Rattus norvegicus: one gene and its partner. The protein of the gene in region 1 interacts with the protein of each later gene in a biochemical or structural test. Links are inferred from orthologs where the notes say so. Each region holds a gene or a part of one and is shown on either strand. Other genes may lie near its edges. The genes, in order: Areg and S100a4.

What was found.
Region 2: the proteins of Areg (region 1) and S100a4 form a complex in vitro, tested with the Homo sapiens proteins (2 studies listed by IntAct, with this or other methods). The link is inferred for Rattus norvegicus from reciprocal best matches to the Homo sapiens genes AREG and S100A4.

The regions. Positions count from the first base shown.
Region 1 is NC_086032.1:17,262,733-17,267,148, forward strand, and holds the start of Areg (amphiregulin preproprotein), read right to left. Parts: upstream 2,910-4,416; 5' UTR 2,732-2,909; coding exon 2,671-2,731; intron 1,721-2,670; coding exon 1,502-1,720; intron 1-1,501.
Region 2 is NC_086020.1:178,387,179-178,391,524, forward strand, and holds S100a4 (protein S100-A4), read left to right. Parts: upstream 1-1,350; 5' UTR 1,351-1,387; intron 1,388-2,183; exon of another isoform or gene 2,184-2,305; intron 2,306-2,553; 5' UTR 2,554-2,568; coding exon 2,569-2,709; intron 2,710-3,366; coding exon 3,367-3,531; 3' UTR 3,532-3,659; downstream 3,660-4,346. UniProt on the Homo sapiens protein: Calcium-binding protein that plays a role in various cellular processes including motility, angiogenesis, cell differentiation, apoptosis, and autophagy.

The DNA of each region.
Region 1 (4,416 bases):
TGGAAGGCTCATGGGGGTGTCGAAGACAGAGCCTCCCTGTCTTAAGAAAATGATAAATATTAGGAATGTTCTAGGGGTTTACTTTAAGTGAATTAACAAAAGTTAAATTAGAAGGAATGTTAAATAGGTAGCCATGCATTGTTTATACAGAAACTTTCTTTTGATCATTATAAAGTGCAAGTGAGAGGAAGCCCTCTGGGAGAATTGTCTTAAACGCATTATCGCTACACTTTATCAGGTAGATTAGAAGTCCAAGCCAAATAATAGTCACTGTGCTGAAGGGTTGCAGCAGACAACACACCCCTGGGTATTCAAGCAAACAGCCTTTTAAAGGAGAGCAACCAACAGTCTCGGCTGTACACACTTCACTGCAATTCTCAGTAGCAGCCGCCTGCCTGCTCCAGAAGTTGGCCTCCAGAACTGTTAATAATGTAACACGTCTTTAACAAGCTGGTGGATGCCCTCCTGGTCCGACCTATTCCCCTGTCCTATTACAAATATTGAAACATTAAAAACAAAAACTAAGCAAAAATGAACAAGATAATTGAGGAGCCCGGCACTGGCGTAGACTGCTCACTGAAGTGTACCCCTCCCCCGAGTTACCCTGTTTCAGTCCTTGTCCCTCATTCCTCCTCAGCTCTGGGAAACTCCGGTGGAGGAGGAGGAGGAGGAGGAGTCAGGAAAGCTGCTAGGAAAGTTTTAGGGACCTTAAGGAACTCTGAAATCACCTTGCCCTGCCTCCAAGGTAGATGCTTAGATCTGACTTATCAATGGCCTCTTCTCCGCCCCAAACGGCAAAGTAAAACGAGGATAGTGAGTCTATCCCTCTCATTTGAAAGAAAGGTTATTTTTTCTTTTAAAAAAAATAAAATCTGTCTAATAAGAGCAAAAGGAAAAAGAAAACAGGATCAGTAGTTTAGCTAAAAATACAATACACACATACATCTTTAACATCCCTAGAGTTCCGTCCTTATTCTTTCTGTTCCCTTATTTGTGTTAGTTATGCAGTTATTAGTTAGTTAGTTAGTTAGTTAGTTGTGCAGTTATTTGAAGACAGGCAGTGTGGAGGAGGGGACGCACCTGCTGAGGCACAAGGGCCTCAGGAATGGTCAATGACTAACCGATGCTTCCAGAATGGAGGTCATGTGGCATACTGGGAAAGATGCTAGTCCCCGGAATCAAGCAGACTGGGGTTCTGATTCTGACTCAGCTGCTTGCTCCCGGGGAGCGCACAACCTCCCTGAGCTTCAGTTAGTGTGTAAAATGAGCGCCGTTCTGCTTACTTCCCAGAGTTGCAAACATCAAGCATGCAACAGGAGATCTTCATGAATGTCTTGGACCTACAGGGTGCAACCTCCACATAGCTCTTCAGAGGATGTGCAGCAGCCACGCCTGCCTTCAAATCCCTTAGGAAAGCCTAGCCGCCTTCCTTCTGAAGCCACTTTGCTGAGGTAAAAAACCACATCTCCCAGACAACACTTTCCTAGTGTCCTCCACTCACCTCTGACTGAGTCGTCCACAATATAGCCGGATATTTGTGGTTCGTTATCATACTCCTCCGAGTAGTCATAGTCCCCTGTGGAGAGTTCACTGCCAGAAGGCATTTCGCTTATGGTAGAGACCTCAGAAACCACAAGTCCACCAGCACTGTGGTCCCCAGAGGACGGTTCTCCTTTCCCAGAGCTGGTGCCATTGAGTTCCAACCCAGCTGCATAATGGCCTGCAGGGGCGGAGAGAAGAAGATGAGTCTGGTGCTTTTGGCTCACTAAGGGACCCCTGCTGTGTAGACGTGTGTCTCCTCATATTAAAGCAGCTACTGCCTGTGTGCTATTGGGTGTTTGGTTTTTTGTTTTGTTTTGTTTTGTTTTGTTTTGTTTTCCCTCGACTGAGTCACTCGTAAAAGCAACTTCACAGTCAGCCAAGAAGCAAACTCAGCTGCCCAATTACAGAGTTTCTTTTATCTGGGTTTTCTTTTCCACAGTTAGCCTACATAATGTCCACAATTTAATAAGTCCTGCCAGTAAGTACCTCTCCCTTCAGGTCTAACTTGGGTGCGATTGTTCCAAAGCTTTCCTGCCTGGTTGTAGCGGGTACTGATACATTTTAACGCTTGTTTACAGCGGTGGAATCTGTGCCTGAGATGCGAAAAGCAGTGCCAACAGTGACAGGGTTTTCAGTGTAAAGACATTATTATTATTATTACCACATAGAGAAAAAGTTCAGCACCCCGCAAACCCTTTGGGGAGTCCTGAGTTCCAGCCCTTGATTTCATTTTGATTTTTGTTTTTAATATCAAAACAGCGTTGCCAGCGGTGCTTTAGGAAGGTAAAAATAAAATCACTAGGCGGAGGAATGGAAACAGAAGGCAAAGAACCCTCCTTCAAATCCTCCAGGATTAACTACCTTTGTGGAAATTACTTCACCTGCCTGGACCTGGATTTCCTCAGTTATCAAGGGAAAGGGAGGACCAAAATGACCTCTTAGGTCTCCATCAGCTGGTCCTTGGGTCATGCTAGAGACTCACTCGGGTCTGCCCTTCTAGCGTGAGCGGTTTCAGGGGTGCGAGCTAAGGGAATCCGTTCCCCGGTCAGATAAATTTGGGGGCATCAAGAGGCAGCAGCATTCAAGGAGCGACAACCCTGGAGGCTGCTGCAGGCACGGGGTGCTCACCTGAGCCTAAGACCAGCAGCGACAGCACTGAGAGCGCCAGCGAAAGCGACGGAGTTCTCATTGGTTCCGCGGCCCGGCGGCGTCGGGGTCTCTGCGGCAACACGACAGCGGCTCCCGGCGGCCGGAACAGCGGAACCGCGAAGCAACGGGCGAGCACCGGCGCGGGGAAGCCCAGCCCCGCCGGGCTCCAGGAGGCTGGAGCTGCCAGCGCCTAGGGCTCGGCTCAAAATGACAGGGCAGCGGCCGCGAGTCAGGAAGGAGCAGAGCGAACTTGGCGGAGGGTGCGGTGAGCACTTTATAGACCCGCGGGAACCACCGCCCGTGACGTCACGCCTCTCCTGGGTGGAGGCGGGAGGTTATTACCCCAAAACTCAGCTGATCCGGGAGGAAGTGGGGATCGAGCCCTGTTACCTGTTAACGCGGAGGGAAAGTTTCCCACTCGTGTTGTGTTCTAAGTTGGAGTGTTCAATATATATATATATATATATATATCCGGGAGATGAAGTACCAAAGTTCCATGTTAGGACGTAGAGCTTTAAGAACAACTGTGGCTAAGTGATGTAGCCAGAAGACTTGAGGAGGATAAAGGAAGCTACTTAACTGGGAAGAGACAGCGACTCCACAAGAGAAGCTGTTTGGGTTTGTGGGCAGTCTGGGGTCCTTTTCCCACCTGGGCTCTAAAGGACTTCAAACGGTGTGGATATCAATCAAACCCCCTTTTCAAGTCCCTGACCCGGTTTTTCCCCACCTGGACGCTAAAGGACTCCTACTGACCCCGTTATCAATCAGACACCCTCCCTGGGGTCTTCCTCTCTGCAGTCTTGGCTGCTCTTTTTACTAGTGTCGAATTAAACACTTGAGATTTTACCTGGACATGGCTGGACAGTGGCACTTAGGAGACTGAAGGACAGTTTTCAGGGAGAAGTCAACCTGGGCTTCTCCCAATAATACACTGGAGACCAATAATACACTGCTGGGGGTAAGTATGCTCCGCCCCCCCCGCCCCTCCCCAGTTTACAAGCCAATAAAAGACAGGTGTGAAAGACAGAAAGAATGAATTAACACAGGAGACAAACTCGCATGCCGTGTAGATTTTATTCAAATTAATTTGTCTCTGAAATCTGCCTCTGGCCTCTGCTCTGATAGAGATAGAGGGCTAAACTGACCTTTATGAAGAGGGTTGCTGGGCAGAAGAAAGTTTCATAGAAAGGCAAAGGGTCAAGATAATTTAGGTGGGCGGGGCGTCTGCTGTTCAAATTAGAAGAATCCAGCGAGGCCGGGTTTCCAGCCTAAGAGGGAGCCCTAATGAGGACACATCAGTGACTCCAGTACTCTGGCTAGAGGATCTTGACTTCCAGAGTAAGGAGCAAGTTTGAGGACCATTTGGGCTAGCAGAAAGACTGGCAGAAAGAAAGAAAGAAAGAAAGAAAGAAAGAAAGAAAGAGAGAGAGAGAGAGAGAGAGAGAGAGAGAGAGAGAGAGAGAGAGAGAGAAAGAAAGAAGGGAGGGAGGGAGGGAGGGAGAAAAAGAAAGGGAAGGGAAGGGAAGGGAGGGAAGAGAAGGGAGGGGAAGGGAAGGAAAAGAAAAGAAAAGAAAAACCAAAAATCAACCCACGGCTATGGGATAGAGTGTGTGTGTGTGTCAGGAGCTTATTTAACTAGGATACAACGGAAGAGAGGGCAGTTAGTTCATCAAACTTTCATGCCCTAGCAGCTCAGAAATGGATTTCCCTTGGCTTAATGAAAAC
Region 2 (4,346 bases), on another chromosome or scaffold:
AGAACATCTCTGCTCTTACCTGGAAGCTCAGGCATGTGCACACAGTTGGGACTGCTGTGGCAGGGGCCTCCTCAACTCCCAATAAAGAAATGTCATCTTGGCTTACTTTGGTTTTTCTGGTGGGACACACTGGGTCTTGGGACTGAGTCCTTGTTCCTTTATGCTCCTTACCACTGGAGAAAGAAGGCTTACCACTGAAGATGGACCCCCAAAGCATCAGACCCAGTAGAGATGTGCAAATCTTACTGTTCAATAGGAGGGTGGGGGCAACACAAGGTCTCATTGGATGAGACTGGAGGGTCTCTGTCTCCACCTCTCTGTCCCCTGTCTTGAACTAGAAGTCCTTATCTTGGGCTTTCTAGGAGAACAAGGGGCTCCTTGGGAGGTACTCAATACAAGGAGGATGCGGTTGTGGGACCCAGCATCAGACCCAGTAGAGATGCTCAAATCTTAGTGTCCAATAGGAGGGTGGGGGCAACATAAGGTCTCATTGGATGAGACTGGAGGGTCTCTGTCTCCATCTCTCTGTCCCCTGTCTTGAACCAGAAGTCCTTATCTTGGGCTTTCTAGGAGAACAAGGGGCTCCTTGGGAGGTACTCAATACAAGGAGGATGCGGTTGTGGGAGCCCAGAGTCAAACCCCCTCTAACCTTCACTTAACCCCTGAGTTTGTACCATATCCTTAGAGATTAATCCTGACTCCCTATTCACCTCTTTCTTCTCTAACTCTCTTCTCCAAGCTGAGCATTCAATCCCGAATGCTTCTGTCATCCCCAATACCCTTACTCAAGCTTCCATCCATGCATAAACCTCTAGGCCACACTACCACCTAACTCCATTATGATATTTCCCACTTAATACCTGGGGTGGTCCCAAGGTCCCTCCTGATTTGCTAGCCTCCACCCTGGATCTTCCTGATGTGACAAGAAGCTGTGTAGGCTGGAGAGAAGGGCTGACATTGTCCCACTGGCTGGGTCACCTCCTTAATTCCTCAGCCAGATAATTCCAGGGCAGTTTCCCATCTCTTGTCTATAACACCAGCATCTCCTTTTCTGTGCCCCACACCTCATGTACAGGTTGTCCCTTCTCAAAGCTTCCTAAGATTCTAGCTGAACTGCGGCTACTTGGTGGTATCCACCCCATCCAAGTCTCTGCCCTGCCCACTGGAGCGCACTCACTACTTGATTGTGCCTGCTAGGGAGCAGGAAGCCTAGCTCTTGGCTGGGCTGGTGGCTGGGCTGTGACACTTACCCGCATCGACCAACAGCAAGAGCAGTATCCATGTTCCCCCATCCCCTGCATGGGCAGGGCATGGCAGGGTATAAATAGGTCAGATTGTTGGGCTCTCCCCAAACCTCTCTGTTCAGCACTTCCTCTCTCTTGGTCTGGTGAGTCGTGTTGGCCTGATAGCACTGTTAGCAGTTTAGAGGCTGAGGCTAGGACAGGAGAAAGGGGGCGTACTGGGGGGAGGGCAGAAGTCTTTAACGGATCCAGATGAGAGATTCTGGTACGGAGGTGTGTGTGTGTGTGTGTGTGTGTGTGTGTGTGTGTGTGTGTGTGTGTGTTGCACAAGAATGAAAACTGAAAAACAAGCAGTATATAAATGGCTCCCGGAGATTCTGAGATGCTGAGGCTTGCTTGTATGTTGCTATAGTGTATGTTGGTGCTTGGGAGCCACTGTCATGGATAGGTATGTTGCTGGGTCATCCAAGCCAGTGTGTGGACACTCAGGTACAGGAAGCAAAGTGAAGGCATCAGCAGGCATTTTTGTTTTACGATGTTTAAATTACACTTATTTTATTTGTGTGTACGAGTGTATGGGTGGGGATGGGGCAAATGCCAAGGGGCACTTCTTGTGAGAGTCAATCTGTTCCTTCTAGCATGTGGGCTCTGGAGATCAAACTCAGGTCATTGAGCTTGGTGGCAAGCACCTCTACCTACTGAGCCACCTGTTCAACACCCACCTGTAGGCATTTGTGTTCATAGTAGTTCATAGCCCTATGAACATATAGCACCTAGGCCAAGAGAGCCTGGCTTCCCCACCCCCTCCCCTTGTACCCCAACCTCTGCCACTTCATCTCACTCCTACTAGGCAGCTGGGTTTTTTCCCTCACTGTAGGCCCCTGGGCAGGCAGCCAGCAGCCGCGCCCAACGCTGGGAGGGAGAAGAATGGGTCAGAGGCTGGAGCTTGTGGTTGAGTTGGGGAGTGAGTAAGCTGAGTGAGGGATGGAAAACTGCTGTTGTTGAGGCCAGGCCTGGGGGGGAGGCACAGAAGGCTGCTGGCATGAATTTCTAGAGTTTGAGTGGTAAGTTTTGCAAGTTTCAGAGCTTGAAGCACATATGAGCTTCTTGCCATCAGTGGGTACCACTCCTCTGATCTCCCTGGGAGTGAGGTCGGTCTCTGGAAGTGCTCTTAGAGAGTAGGTTGGAGTAGAGCACTAAAAACGGGGACAGACTGAGTGTGACTTGAGTGATGCCTAGCAACATATATCCAGCTCTCAACACACTGTTGGTGTGGGTTGGAGAAGGCTACTTTTGTGTCTCCTGCCCCTAGGTCTCAACGGTCACCATGGCGAGACCCTTGGAGGAGGCCCTGGATGTAATAGTGTCCACCTTCCACAAATACTCAGGCAACGAGGGTGACAAGTTCAAGCTGAACAAGACAGAGCTCAAGGAGCTACTGACCAGGGAGCTGCCTAGCTTCCTGGGGGTGAGTGGATCCTGTCTGTGTATTGCATATGTGATGCATCCCCAGGAGGAGGCTGGGGCTGGAGATATCTATCTATCTATCTATCTATCTATCTATCTATCTATCTATCTATCTATATCTATATCATCTATCTATATCTATCTATCTATCTACATATATATATATATATATATATATATATATATATATATATATATATATCTCTCCCTACTCCTGGCGCTTGGTATGGAACCACAATGAACCATCTACTTCACACCAGCCCCCCGTTGAGACAAGGCTTAGAATGAAGTTAACTGAAGTGGCACAGGAAAACCACATTAGGTAGTCAGTGTCTGAAAGCACAGCCTAGATCAGGACAGTCTTTCCGGTGATGTGCAACAGAAATCGAGTTTCTGCTTGTGAAGACATGATTGTGGAGGCACACAAATGCCTGCAGATCTTCCCCTCAATGACACCTTATCTTAGTTAACACCTCCTTGTCATGACAGTTACCTATAGACATAGTTAAAACAAGCGTGGGGAAGATGTGGTCACATCCTTTCCCAGCTAGCCCATGTGCTCATCTCACAGTTGAGCCCTGAGGCTAGCACGGTGTCTGCAAGCCTTCCTGAGCTCCTGGCTGGAGGTGGCGTCTAACTGTACCTCTTCTACCTCCAGAGAAGGACAGACGAAGCTGCATTCCAGAAGCTGATGAACAACTTGGACAGCAACAGGGACAATGAAGTTGACTTCCAGGAGTACTGTGTCTTCCTGTCCTGCATTGCCATGATGTGCAATGAATTCTTTGAGGGCTGCCCAGATAAGGAGCCCCGGAAGAAGTGAAGACTCCTCAGATGAAGTGTTGGGCCAGTGGGGGAATCTTCCATGTTGGCTGTGAGCATAGTGCCTTACTCTGGCTTCTTCATACATGTGCACAGTGCTGAGCAAGTTTAATAAAGAGTTTTGAAACTATGTCTGAGAGACTGGAGATTGTGGGTGGGTGGGTGGGGCTGAGGGAGGGTGGTGGCAGAGATGGCTGGAAGTTGACCTGGAGCTTTGTGGGGGCCAAACTAGAAAAGGTTGGGGAGGGGTGAGTGACTTATTCTGAGTTCATTACAAGTGTATATTTGTGTGTATGCGTGCATGTGTGTGTGTGTTTGTGTGTGTTCACGTGCTCCTGTACATGCAACAAAGCAAACTCTGGGAACACTAAAGGCAGAAACCACCAGAGGCTTGCCTTGAAAGGCTCCAGATGTGGGATGTTATCCAGCCCACGGTTCTCCCTCCTCTCTCTAGTACTGCCTCTGGGCTCAAACTGAAGTTGGGATGGAATTAAAGGTCACATCTGCTGCTGGTTGGGGTCTGGAGGGAAGACAACAGGCCTGCCTGAGTCATGAGGCAGGAGTCTTGAAGCCAGAGAAGGGTGGGGAGGTGGACTGGCATTCAGCCCTAACATTTATAGTCCAGATCCTGTCTTGCTACCCGTTCTAGCTCATTGGCTTCACTGGATTAATCCTTTCCTTTCCATGAAGGGTTGGACAAAGAAGGGTAATATAGAGTAGCATAAGAATCTCTCTCTCTCTCTCTCTCTCTCTCTCTCTCTCTGAGAAGTCTCACTCCTGTAGCCAAAGGTAGCCTTGAACTTCTGATCCTCCTTG